Linked DNA regions of Macaca mulatta. The protein of the gene in region 2 binds, or shares a complex with, the protein of the main gene of each other region. Links are inferred from orthologs where the notes say so. Each region holds a gene or a part of one and is shown on either strand. Other genes may lie near its edges.

Region 1 (7,271 bases), on a different chromosome or scaffold from region 2:
TTGGATTATAGGCATGAACCACTGCGGCCAGCTAATCTTTTGGCTACTATAAATGGTGCTGCCATGAATGTGGGTATACAAGTTATTGTTTGAACATTGTTTTCAATTCTTTTTAGTATTTTGGGGGGCATACCCAGGACAAAATTACTGGGTCACATGGCAATTCTATGTTCAACTCTTTGAGAAACCACCATGTCTCTAACTCATTTCTATGTTTACAATTTACAAGGTGTCTTGATCACCAGTTAGGAGAAGCTGGACAGCTGCAGCCAAACCCCAGGTTGGACCCAAAGAGGTCTCTTTTTCTTTCATTCATTCATTCCTCTTTTTTTTTTTGAGACAGAGAGTCTCACTCTGTCACCCATGCTGGAGTACAGTGGCGTGATCTCAGCTTACTGCAACCTCCAACTCTTGGGTTCAAGCAATTCTCCTGCCTCAGCCTCCCGAGTAGCTGGGACTACAGGCACCCACCACCAAGCCCCACTAATTTTTGTATTTTTAGTAGAGATGAGGTTTCACCATGTTGGCCAGGCTGGTCTCAAACTCCTGGCGTCAAGTGACCTGTCCGCCTCAGCCTCCCAAAGTGCTGGGATTACAGGCATGAGCTACTGTGCCTGGCCCTCTTTTTCTTTCTTTCTTCCTTCCTCCTTCTTCTTCTTCCTTCATTTGACTTTCAGGTCAAAGAGGTCTCTTTTAAAAAACTACACTGAGTAGAAGAGCCAGACTCGATGTGAGCCAAGTTTGTTCCAAGGCAAGCTTACACGCAGGACTTTGAATAGCTTTCTCTGCTGCTCTGCATGTCACAACATGAACTGGCTGGGCAGGAATACCTTCCTGCCTCCTAGGCATTCTTGGTTTTCCATTATGTTACACACACTTCTGAAAAAAGATGTTAACTACCAACCTACAAGTTTCTCTCCTCTGTCTTTGTTGGAGTTCAGATTAGCACCTGGGGTCAATGCAAAAACAGTGCTTGGGGACAGGTTCTATGCCCCAATCCTAGGAGAGGCGAGTCCTTGCATGCTGAGAACAGGGCCTCCCAAACACTAGATGGGATGATGGAGAAATTCTCCATCCAGGGCAGGCTTTTACCATATATTTTGCCTGACAGCACTGCTCAGTGATTCTGACTCTATCAATCCACAGATATCGGAGGTGAGCCTACTGTACTTATATACCGTATGTTGTCCAACCTCCAGGCTTGCCAGAGCCACAGGAGATAATCCTACTACAGGCATTGTTTACTGCAGCCAATCTACTGAGTTGAGGCTTCTCAGTCATTAACCCAACCCCAGACAGTAACTGACTAGTACCGATTTTAAAATTTAAACCTGTTCAGGAGTTTCTTGGCATGCTGACCTCTTACCTCAGCTCCCTCACACATAGGAAGTTTCTGAGCCACAGAAGCCCAAAGCTATGTTGCATTGCCAAAAACAAGGACAGACCAAAGTGGCTTTTTCCACTTGAAACTAAATACTAAGAATGAAGAGGTCGGTTTTAGGGGGTCCCGGTTAAGCAGTTTCTCTGCCAACCCACAGCAGTCCCTTGAGGCTTCTCTCCTGGCCTCCTTTCAGGTGTCCTGGCCTGAATCTGCCATTAGGAAAGAAAAAAAGTCCCCTGACGGGTCATATCCTCTGTAATCTGGCAGGAAAGCTAAAATGTGCGTGCTCCCATTCCTCGTTGTGTTTGTGTATTTGCTTCCTTGTTGGGAAGAGCCTGCATCACAGTGTCCGGTGTAGGGGATTTTCACCATGACCTCACCCTCCTGCTGCCACTCACTAATTCCGGCTCGGCCAAGCGTCCCCGAAGTCACATCACAGCCCAGGTGGAATGCACGAGTGAGCCATTAACAGTCCCTCGTAGCACGTCTCAGGTGAACATCAACTTCAGTTCTTTCCCCTCATAGATGGCCCTGGCAGGGGTCTGAAAATGCCAGAAAGAGCTGGAAGTGGGGGTGGATGACGTCTCGTTACCGTTCTGGGATTTGAAGACTAGAGAAGGTCAAGGGAATCACCTTAAGAAAACACATCAGGCCAGGGCCCGCTGGCTCTGTCTGGAATCCCCGCACTGTGGGAGGCCAAGGCTAGAGGACTGCTTGAGCTCAGGAGTTCGAGACCAGCCTGGACAACATAGGGGAAGACCCCTGTATCTAAAAATAAATACAAAAAATTAGCCGGGTGTGATGGCACACGCCTGTAATCCCAGCTACTCGGGAGGCTGAGACGGGAGGATGGCTTGAACCTGGGGGGCGGAGGTTGCGTGAGTCGAGATCGCGCCACTGCACTCCAGCCTGGGCGACAGGGTGAGATTCCGTCTCAAAAAATAAAAAATAAAATAAAATAAAATAAAGAAAATGCACCAAAGGCCTGCCAGGCTCACGCCAGCTGTTCTGTTCAAATAACTTTCGAGTTCGTGGCCTCGAAATGGGTCGGGTGGGCGGTAACAGCGGGCAGCGGGCGCGCAACGCGGGAGAAAGGGCGGCTGAGTGGGAGCCCAAAGAGGCGCGTCCGGGACCTGGTCTCCGGCCTCCAGGCCTCGGGCAAGCCCTTCTGCCCACAAGTAGGTTCAGACCATGAAAGGGAAACAGAAAGTTGTGCTCCCTAGCCCGGCCCACGTGACCGCGGTTCCTCATCCCTCCCCGTGGGCACCCGAGCGACACACCGAGCGCGTGACTCGCCGCCCAAGGCGGGAGGCGGGGGAGCGGCCAGGGCGTGCGCGCGCGCCTCCGGGAGACAGCGGGAGCGCGCACGCTCCGGGGCCACCGCCCCTCCCGGGCCGGGCCCGCCCTCCTTCCCTCCCTCCCCCGCTCTCCTGGCCCGCCCTGCTCGGCCCGCCCTGCGAGTCAGTTCGCTGGTTCCCTCCCTCCCTGGGCGCGCTCGGGCCGCCACCGCGCACCCCGCCCTCGAGCCGCGGTGCCGGAGCCGCCCGCCGCCGGAGGAGGAGGTGGAGGGAGCCGGAGGGGCCCGCCGAGGCGGCGGCGGCGGCGGCAAGATGGCGGACTTCCTGCCGTCGCGGTCCGTGCTGTCCGTGTGCTTCCCCGGCTGCTTGCTGACGAGCGGCGAGGCCGAGCAGCAACGCAAGTCCAAGGAGATCGACAAATGCCTGTCTCGGGAAAAGACTTACGTGAAGCGGCTGGTGAAGATCCTGCTGCTGGGCGCAGGCGAGAGCGGCAAGTCCACCTTCCTGAAGCAGATGCGGATCATCCACGGGCAGGATTTCGACCAGCGCGCGCGCGAGGAGTTCCGCCCCACCATCTACAGCAACGTGATCAAAGGTGCCGGGCCGGGAACGGGGTCCGGGGGTTAGGGGCCAGGGGGCTGGGGCGGCGGCGGGCGCGCGGCCGGGCACCGCCCTCGTCCGCTCTGTCGCTGGCGGAGGACCGGGCCCGGCGGGCGGGCTGGCGGGAAGGGGGCGCGCCCCGGGAACCGACCCTGCCCGCCCGGGGTGCCCTCGGCCCCCAGGCAAGAGGATGCTCGGGGTCGCCCTGCTCTCCTCCTTGTCTCCCCGGTGGGCGTCACGGCCATTCCCCCACCCCCCACCGCGTCCTGGTCTCGCCCCCTACGAGAGGGAAGTGGGGCGAGCTGGGTGCTGCCTCGGGGTGTGGGGAGACCTCTTCTGTCCTCCCCGCTGCGGATGAGGCAGGAAGACCGAACGGCAGCCCCAGCCGCTTCACCCCCATCCCCTGCTCGGGCGATGTGGGCCGAACCTCGTTACCCCGCTGGGTGACCCCAGTCACATGGGGTCGCGTGCGCTCCCAACTCCCTGTTTCCTTGGCAGTCTCCTAAGCAAGCGAGTTCTGGAACCGTCGCAATAAGGGAACTTTTTCCCCCGATACTTCTTGTCAAGGGCGTAGGGTGACAGCCTCCTTTTAAGCAAGGATATGAAACTTGAGAGAGTGTCAGGTTGACCGTACTGGAATCAGAAGAGAATGGACCCGTACAGTTAGTCTGAAAAAGTAGCCTCTGTGCTTTTTCGCCCCAGTGTCACGGTCAGGTAGGATGTTTACGTGTAATTTCTGTGCAACACGTTCCACTCTCCTTTTCGCTAAGTAACTGGGAGCTGGCGGGAAGGGAGTACCACTACTTCTGTTTAGATGAAATGTAGTGGTAAGAAGACTGGCCTAAAAGTCATGTGGATGCTGTACAGATGGAAACAATGAATGAGTGTTGAGTTAGATAATTGGTTCTGCCCTTTATTGACAGTAGTTTTAAAATTAAACTTTGTTCTTAAGTTAAAAACAAGTTGTTTATTTCTGGGCATTCAAAGAAATAAAAAAGACGGTTTTTGTCATTTGAAAGATAATTAACACTCGTGTTTCTGTGTGTCAGGTGTGTTCTATAGAAAAGACATTTTGGCAGAATTTAGGTGCAGAGCCTGGTACCTCAGGTGCATCTGGATTTTATTTTATCTGGGGAGCAGTTTAGGAGTTTGCTACAGATTGCAGGTCCTTTTAAGTGGGATTTTTTGGTCAGGAAGTACATAAGGGAATTCTTAATGTCACCCCGCTCCCCCACCTTCCAGCGTTTGGGTAAAGGAAAAACTGCCTGAAGAGCCAGGCATTGTGGAGTAATGAACTAGAGAGAATCACTAGACCACAGCCCGCTGTAGCCCTAGTGCCTCTGCAGTTAAACTATAAAGAACAGTTGTATTTATCCTGCTGTAATGTTTAGCACAAAACTAATTAAGGTCTCTTTCAAGGCTGCAGACTCTGCCTTGACAGTCCTTAATTGAAGGAACCTTTGTAACCTGATGCAGCTGAACTTAAGGAATTATGTTAATGAATAGCATCAGCATGTTAACTGATTGTGAGCCAGGTAAACACCTCTTCTTAATGTACACTGAGTTGTAAGTGTGATCTACTTGAGCATTGTTGCGAGATGATGTAAGTCGTCAGGAATCTAGTTTTTCCGAGTTGACATGAAATTTGACAGAAGAACAGTTTTTCAGGCTGGGCGTGGTGGCTCACTCCTGCAATCCCAGCACTTTGGGAGGCCACAGTGGGAGGATGGCTTGAGCCCAGGAGTTCCAGACCAGCTGGGCAACATAGCCAGACCTCGTCTCTATTTAAAAAAAAAAAAAAAAAAACCCAAAAAACACCAGTTTTTCAGTTATTCAAACAGATGACTTCCTAATAGCCAAGTGACTGTTCAGATTGATCAAAGGTAATGAAAGTAGTAAATCAGTGATATGAAATATGAGTTTGAACTAACTAACCTCTGTGAGCTGGAGTCCGATTTTGTATTATTTTGCAGTTGCTCTTCCTCCCTTTTAGGGAAATTGAAGGCCGTCCTGTGACTTAAACTGGATTGAAACTTAGGCTGGAAGAAGTTTTTAAATTTTGAATGTGTTCCTAGAAGACTCAATGTTGGGTTACGGTGCCGAAGGAACAAACAGAACATGGAGCTATAATGTAATAGTTGGTTCTTAGTGTGTCATAAATGAACATCTTTTAGGCTCGTAAAATCTTGGTTGTGTCCGTTTTCTTGTGAGCTTGGACATTGGTCTGTGCAACATAAGTTCTTTTTCCTTCTTGAGTTGGGTTCTTTTTTGACTACCTTCTACCCCAGAAGTTATTTTATAAATTGGAACATGTTAAAAATCCTTCAGAAAGAGGAATTGTGCTAATAGTATTTGCTTTTCAAGGCTCTAATTTTAAGACAGTGAGCAACTGTTATTTTTTTTTAACCTCTGAGAAGTTACATTTGTTTTTAATGTTGGTCTTCATTTTTGAAGATTTGTCTGGGATAATTCAGAAGTGTAAGGAAATAATACTGAAATAAAAACTTATGATAATATGTAATGACTCCTCTCCATACATTTTTTTTTCTTCTTTTTGAACAAAGGTATGAGGGTGCTGGTTGATGCTCGAGAGAAGCTTCATATTCCCTGGGGAGATAATTCAAACCAACAACATGGAGATAAGATGATGTCGTTTGATACCCGGGCCCCCATGGCAGCCCAAGGAATGGTGGAAACAAGGGTTTTCTTACAATATCTTCCTGCTATAAGAGCATTATGGGCAGACAGCGGCATACAGAATGCCTATGACCGGCGTCGAGAATTTCAGCTGGTAAGAGATTTGCTCTTTTAAAACGTGTGGTTTTATTTTAGCGACGTTTAGTAATACAGGTTGCACATCCCTAATGCGAAAATTCGAAATGCTCTCAAATCTCAAAGTATTTGAGTTGGAGGAGCAGACTGAGAGGCTAAGGGATAGACCTAATGTGTCCTAGTCTGTAATGACTACTTGTAAAAATAGTGCATAAAATTACCTTTAGGCTACATGTCTTAAGGTATATATGAAACATAAATGAATTTCTAGTTTAGACTTGAGTCCCACTCCCAGCATATCTCTTGTGTATGCAGATATTTCAAAAATCTGAAAAAATTACAAATCCAAAACACTTCTGGTCCCAGGCATTCAGATAAGGGATGCTCAACCTGTATCTGATTTTAGCACACCTTTTTCACTGACTTCCATAATATAATGTATCTATCCAAAATTGTAGCCTCAGAAATTTGTTTTTTTGGGGTTTATTTTGACATGGAGTCTCACTGTGTTGCCTAGGCTACAGCGCAGTGGCGTAATCTTGGCCCACTGCAACCTCTGCCTCCAGGGTTCAAGCAACTCTCGTGCCTCAGCCTCCTGTGTAGCTGGGTCTACAGGCACGTTCCACCACACCTGGCTAATTTTTGTCTTTTTAGGAGAGGCAGTTTCACCATGTTAGCCAGGCTGATCTGGAACTCCTGACCTCAAGTGATCCGCCCACTTTGACCTCCTAAATTGCTGGCGTTGCGCCAGGCACTTTTCCCCTTTTTCCTTAAAGGAGACTACCCATAAAATACTTTGTAGCTGTTACACAACATTGAAGACAGGTTTGGAAAAAAAGTATCCAGTCCAGGTTAAAAATACAGAATACAGTTGAAACAGATTTTTAATCAAGTGTTTGGTACTTTAACTGTGAATGCTGTGATTGGGTTTTATTTGCCAAAGGCCAGAAAGATTCCAGCAGTGATAGAAATCTAGACTGTATGCCATTTGGAAGTAATTCAGATCTGAAGTGTTTTACTCTAGTATGATTAAAATGGAGTCACAGTTAAAAGTAAAACTGCTGGGTGGGTGCGGTGGCTCATGCCTGTAATCCCAGCACTTTGGGAGTCTGAGGCGGGTGGATCACCTGCCTGATGTCAGAAGTTCGAGACCAGCCTGGCCAACATGGGGAAACACCATCTCTACTAAAAAATACAAAAATTAGCCGGGCATGGTGGCA
Region 2 (6,513 bases):
TTTGCAGTGAGCCGAGATCACGCCAGTGCACTCCAGCCTGAGTGACAGAGGGAGACTCTGTCTCAAAAAAACAAAAACAAAACCCTCGTTTGATAAAATCCTTAAAAGTAAAAATCCTTATACCATCATTTACCGTACTGACAGATATCTCTGCATCAAACAGTAGAACCTTCTTGCTCTTCATTGAAAACAGCATCCTATGCTACAGAGTTCCTTAGGACCTCTCATGAGCAACTGTGGTTCCCAGGAGTTACTTTCATCCACATTACTCGCCTGCTAAGGTGAAATTCTTTTGCTCGTTATTCATATTTTCCTTTGTAGTATGGAGCTCCTTTTCAACACGTGGATTCCAAACTGAGCACCGTTGCCAGAACAAGGAAATAATTATGAAAAAATACATGGTTGGGCGCAGTGGCTCAACACTTGTAATACCAGCACTTTGGAGGCTGAGGTGGGCGGGTCACCTGAGGTCAGGAGTTAGAGACCAGCCTGACCAACATGGAGAATCCCCGTCTCTACTAAAAATACAAAATTAGCTGGCCATGGTGGCACATGCCTGTAATCCCAGCTACTTTGGAGACTGAGGCAGGAGAATTGCTTGAACCCAGGAAGTGGAGGTTGTGGTTAGCCGACGCGCCATTGCACTCCAGCCTGGGCAACAAGAGCACAACTTCGTCTCAAAAACAAAAACAGGCCGGGCGCGGTGGCTCAAGCCTGTAATCCCAGCACTTTGGGAGGCCGAGACGGGCGGATCACGAGGTCAGGAGATCGAGAACATCCTGGTTAACACGGTGAAACCCCGTCTCTACTAAAAAAAATACAAAAAACTAGCCGGGCCAGGTGGCGGGCGCCTGTAGTCCCAGCTACTCAGGAGGCTGAGGCAGGAGAATGGCGTGAACCCGGGAGGCGGAGCTTGCAGTGAGCCCAGATCACGCTACTGCACTCCAGCCCGGGCGACAGAGCAAGAAGCCGTCTCAAAAACAACAAAAACAAAAACAAAAAAGGCCAGGCGTGGTGGCTCATGCCTATAATCCCAGCACTTTGGAAAGCCGAGGTGAGCAGATCATGAGGTCAGGAGATCAATACCATCCTGGCTAACATGGTGAGACCCCGTCTCTACTAAAAATACAAAAAAATTTAGCTGTGCAAGGTGGTGGGCACCTGTAGTCCCAGCTACTCGGAAGGCTGAGGCAGGAGAATGGTGGAAACCCGTGAGGCAGAGCTTGCAGTGAGCTGAGATGGTGCCACTGCACTCCAGCCTGGGCAACAGAGCAAGACTCCATCTCAAAAAAAAAAAAGAAAAAATTTGTGATAGTTACTGGTCTCTGCTGCCGGACCAGGCGCAGTGGTGCTGTTGTTTACCAAGCAGGTGAGGAGGGAGTGCCTCCTTTGGTTTCTAGGAGACCTTGATTCCAATTTTAGCTCAGTCTGGGAAATTTCATGGGGTATTTTGGTGAGAAATGTTTCATGAATTTGGAATGTCTTAAATGTGGTTTGTTTTTTCGTTTATTTGTTTTGTTTTTGTTTTTGTTTTTTCCAGTCAGGGTCTCGCTCTGTTGCCCAGGCTAGTGTGCAGTGGTGCAATCTTGGCTTACTGCAACCTCCGCCTCCTGGGTTCAAGCAGTCTGCCACCTCACCCTCCTGAGTAGCTGGGATTACAGGCATGCACTACCATACCAAGCTATGTTTTTGTATTTTTGTAGTGGAGATGGGATTTTACCATGCTAGCCATGTTGGTCTCAAACTCCTGTGATCCGCCTACCTTGGCCTCCCAGTGTTGGGATTAAAGACATGAGCCTCTAATTTGATTTGTAATGAAACTAAACAGAAGCAGTTATGAAATGATGTCAGCCTGTCTCAGCTGACAAAGGGAATGGGTGCCAGGGGTGATGTGGCCTGCATTCAGTTGGGGGCTGTGCACTCTCCACTCTCAACTGTGGTCTGTAACAGTGTTTTTGTTCATGCTTTTAAAGTTGGTCTGACATTTAGAGCCTTCCTTTCCTTCCTCCTCTCCTCTCCTCTTCCTCTTCGTCCCTTCTTCCCGTCTTTCTTTCTGTCTTGTCTTTCTGTCTGTCTGTCTGTCTTTTTTGAAACAGAGCCTTGCTCTGTTGCCCAGGCTGGAGTCCAGTGGCATGATTTTGTCTCATTGTAACCTCCGCCTCCTAGGTTCCAGCAATTCTTCTGCCTCAGCTTCCCGAGTAGCTGGGATTACAGGCGCGCACTACCATACCCAGCTAATTTTTGTATTTTTAGTAGAGACAGGGTTTTGCCATGTTGGCGAGGCTGGTCTTGAACTCCTGACTTCACGTGATCTGCCTGTCTCGGCCTTCCAAAGTGTTGGGATTACAGGCGTGAGCCACTGTGCCCGACCAGAGATTTTTTTTCTTATAATAAGTGGCTTTGTCTGAAGCACATGTAACATAGAAGCACTTAAGTCACCAGAGTCTGGGTTTTAGTCTGTTGCCCTTGTACACTTTCTGTGTTATGTGGTACTGATAGGTTTGCTTTTGTCTGTCCCTCCAGGCTTCTCGTCAGTGCCTCGCAGGATGGTAAACTTATCATCTGGGACAGCTACACCACCAACAAGGTAGGGACTGGAAAATTCCCTTCCTTGGAAAACCCACCTAGGAAACAGTATTTTAAGCTCTGGAGTCTTTTTTGTTAAATCACATAATACAAGATAGGGAAGGCAGTAACGGCAAGCTCTGTTTGTTAGTAGTGAGGTTGTGCAGGTGAGACACAAGCTGAGTCACATGCCAGCACCTGTGACAGTCTCTTCCTCTGAACCAGGTGCTGTTGTGCTATTTTCCGTTATCTCCTTACCAAGCTGATGGGAGCTAAGGACCTTCTGTGTTTCCAGGAGACCTCAATTCCAGTTTTAGCAGAGTCTGGGAAGTTTCATGTTTTATTTATAGAGTGCAGAAGTATCACTTTTCATTTAATTATTAGTTTTTTAGGAGAGATCATCATACTTTAAAGTGTAATGTATGTTATTTTCAAGACTTAATCCAAATTGTACTGTTTTGAATAAAAAGTATTGTTGGCTGGGCATGGTGGCTTATGCCTGTAATCCCAGCACTTTGGGAGGCTCTGGCAGGCAGATCACAAGGTCAGTAGATCGAGACCATCCCGGCTAACAAAGTGAAACCCTGTCTTTACCAAAAGTACAACAAATTAGCCGGGCGCGGTGGCGGGTGCCTGTAGTCCCAGCTACTCGGGAGGCTGAGGCAGGAGAATGGCATGAACCTGGGAGGCGGAGCTTGCAGTGAGCTGAGATGCTGCCATTGCACTCCTCCAGCCTGGGCGACAGAGCGAGACTCCGTCTCAAAAAAAAAAAAAGTATTGTCATTGGTCCCAACATATACGTAAAAGATGTTATTCAGTTTACTAAAGAATACTAAATGTGTATAAATGGTTACATTCATTACAGCAGATATAACACACTGGGAGAGATGTGGCAGGATAGATTATAGTAATGTCCATTTCGTTTATTCCGTAAAAATATTTTGTTTTCGGCCGGGTGCGGTGGCTCACACCTGTAATTCCAGCACTTGGGAGGCTGAAGCAGGTGGATCACCTGAGGTCAGTAGTTTGAGACTAGCCTAGCCAACATGGTGAAACCTCATTCTCTACTAAAAATACAAAAAATTAGCCAGGTGTGGTGGCAGGCGCCTGTAATCCCAGCTACTCAGGGGGCTGAAGCAGGAGAATCACTTGAACCCGGGAGGCAGAAGTTGCAAGTGAGCCTAGATTGCGCCACTGCACTCAAACCTGGGCAACAAGAGCGAAACTCCATCTCAAAAGAAAAAAAAAAAGTTTTGTTTTCAAATAAGTTCATAGCCATTTGACAGGGTAATGCAGTGTTTTCCTTCTAATATATATGGGGTTTTTTGGGTTTTTTTTTGTTTGTTTGTTTGTTTGAGACAGAGTGTTGCTCTTATCGCCCTGGCTGGAGTGCAGTGGCGTGATCTCTGCTCACTGCAGCCTCCACCTCCCTGGTTCAAGCAACTCTCCTGCTTCAGCCTCCTTGAGTAGCTGGGATTACAAGCGCCCACCACCATACCCAGCTAATTTTTGTATTTTAGCACAGATGGGGTTTCACCAATTTGAGGCCAGGCTGGTCTCAAATTCCTGACCTCAGGTGATCCACCCGCCTCAGCCTCCCAGAGTGCTAGGATTACAGGTGTGAGTCACTGCGCCCGGCCTGTTTGTTTTCTTGTGAGACGGAGTCTCGCTCTGTTGCCCAGGCTGGAGTGCAGTGACATGATCTCAGCTCACTGCAACCTCTGCCTCCCAGGTTCAAGTGATTCTCCTGCCTCAGCCACCCGAATAGCTGGGACTACAGGCAGGCGCCATCATGCCCGGCTAATTTTGATATATTTAGTAGAGACGGAGTTTCATCATGTTGGCTAGGCTGGTTTTGAACTCCTGACTTCAGGTGATCTGCCCAATTTAGCCTCCCAAAGTGCTGGGATTACTGGTGTGAATGACCGCACCCCACCTAATAAAGTAGTTTTGATGAGTAGGCAGCACTACTATTAAGTCCCCACCTAATCATAAGTCGTGACTTTAGTAAAACTGGATTGTGTGGATTGAATTTGAATCCCATGTGCAGCACTGGACTTCTCATTAATAGGCTTCACCTGAGTGGCCACTCATGGGAATTACTCTCTAGATAATTTTGGCTCTTATTTTGTTCTGTTACCTCCTATGCAATGAAAGTTGGAGATGAGATAATCCTAGCGTCAGTGTTGTTTTTGAACATAAAGGTGTTTGCATCATCTGTGTTTCTGTCATTAGGTCCACGCCATCCCTCTGCGCTCCTCCTGGGTCATGACCTGTGCATACGCCCCTTCTGGGAACTATGTGGCCTGCGGTGGCCTGGATAACATTTGCTCCATTTACAATCTGAAAACTCGTGAGGGGAACGTGCGCGTGAGTCGTGAGCTGGCAGGACACACAGGTACCATCCTTGTTCATAACCTTCAAGTGACACAAGCTGTTTAGCTGGAGTACATTATATGCTTTGGATATGCACCTTTTATCAGTCATTTATTAATTATTATTATTATTTTTTTTCTTTGAGGTGGAGTCTTGCTCTTTCGCCCAGGCTAGAGTGTATTGGCATGATCTTGGCTCAGTGCAAGCTCTGCCTCCCGGGTTAACGCCATTCTCCTGCCTCAGCCTCCTGAGTAGCTGGGACTACAGGCACCTGCCACCACGCCCGTCTAATTTCTTTTTGCATTTTTAGTAGAGATGGGGTTTCACCGTGTTAGCCAGGCTGGTTTTGAACTCCTGACCTCATGATCCGCCTGCCTTAGCCTTCCAAAGTGCTGGGATTATAGGCGTCAGCCACTGCGCCCGGCGTTATCAATCATTATTAATGAGACTGGTTCAAATAAAAGTCACAGTAATGGCCAGAAGTCTTCTGAAAATGAAACTAAAAACAGGCCTGACGTGCCTTTACCAGTAAGGAACCTGTGGATTTGCGCTGGACATGGTGGCTCATGCCTGTAATTACAGCATTCTGGGAGTCCAAGGTAGGAGAATAGCTTGGAGCCAGGAGTTCGAGACCAGCTGGGACAACAAAACTTAGACCCCTTCTCTACAAAAAAGGAAAAACTTAGCCACGCACAGTGGCGCACACCTGTGGTCCCAGCTCCTCGGGAGGATGGCTCAAGCCTGGGTGGTTGAGGCTGCAGGGAGCTATGATTGCACTACTGCACTCCAGGCTGGGTGAAAGTGAGACCCTGTCTCTGCAAATGAGGCAGAATAGAGCCCTGTGGCTGTAAGTGCTAGGTAGTCTATTATCTCACCAAGATTTTGTTTACTTGTGACACTAATTCATCATGAAAGGCATACGTTTGCTGAAAGAGGATGTCCTATTCTAATATATTTTACCTCTCTGGCTGTATTATCTGTTCTCAGAAATGTTATGGCCCCAGTACTTTTTGGTAACACTCCGCCCACTTCACATGCAGCCAAAGAAATCAGTTCATGGAGTCAGTAGTACTGCTTTTGACGCCTATTAAGCAGTCTGATAAATAAGTTAATTTTGGCCAGATTACAAGTATAACCTTGTCCTTTGAAAGATATGCTGCTATTGTTGATTTCTGTTCTTGGTTCTTTCCTGCCTTCTGCTTACTTTGGAGTTGCCTTCTTCTTAATTTTCCAGCTGCCTAAAGTAGATTTGTAGGCCACTGGTTTGCTTCCTTTTCAGATATAATCACTTAAATTTTTAAATTTCCCTCTAAGCATGGCTTTAGCTGCATCACACACATATTTTTAATATTGTCTTTTTTTTTTTTTTTAAGATGGAGTCCTCCTCTGTCACCCAGGCTGGAGTGCAGTGGTGTGATCTCAGCTCACTGAAACCTCCACCCCCTGGGTTCAAGCGATTCTCCTGCCTCAGCCTCCCGAGTAGATTACAGATGTGCACCACAACGCCTGGCCAATTTTTGTATTTTTAGTAGAGACAGGATTTTGCCATGTTGGTCAGGCTGGTCTCGAACT

The links.
Region 1: the proteins of GNB1 (region 2) and GNA13 are in contact, whole or in part, in a cryo-EM structure (PDB 8H8J), measured with the Homo sapiens proteins. The link is inferred for Macaca mulatta from reciprocal best matches to the Homo sapiens genes GNB1 and GNA13. Residues at the interface, in NP_001269468.1 of Homo sapiens: Gly53, Leu55, Lys57, Tyr59, Gln75, Asp76, Lys78, Ile80, Thr87, Asn88, Lys89, Val90, His91, Ala92, Ser98, Trp99, Met101, Leu117, Asp118, Asn119, Tyr145, Asp186, Met188, Asp228, Arg314, Trp332; in NP_006563.2 of Homo sapiens: Ser31, Ile34, Asp35, Leu38, Glu41, Lys42, Val45, Lys50, Gly205, Ile206, Glu208, Lys219, Val221, Lys231, Arg232, Trp233, Phe234, Glu235, Cys236, Phe237, Asp238, Ser239, Val240, Arg279.

The regions. Positions count from the first base shown.
Region 1 is NC_133421.1:74,805,864-74,813,134, reverse strand, and holds the start of GNA13 (guanine nucleotide-binding protein subunit alpha-13), read left to right. Parts: upstream 1-2,872; 5' UTR 2,873-2,991; coding exon 2,992-3,274; exon of another isoform or gene 3,275-3,700; intron 3,701-3,809; exon of another isoform or gene 3,810-3,993; intron 3,994-5,843; coding exon 5,844-6,070; intron 6,071-6,210; exon of another isoform or gene 6,211-6,713; intron 6,714-7,271. UniProt on the Homo sapiens protein: Guanine nucleotide-binding proteins (G proteins) are involved as modulators or transducers in various transmembrane signaling systems.
Region 2 is NC_133406.1:238,896,718-238,903,230, forward strand, and holds part of GNB1 (guanine nucleotide-binding protein G(I)/G(S)/G(T) subunit beta-1), read left to right. Parts: intron 1-2,523; coding exon 2,524-2,587; intron 2,588-4,800; coding exon 4,801-4,963; intron 4,964-6,513. UniProt on the Homo sapiens protein: Guanine nucleotide-binding proteins (G proteins) are involved as a modulator or transducer in various transmembrane signaling systems.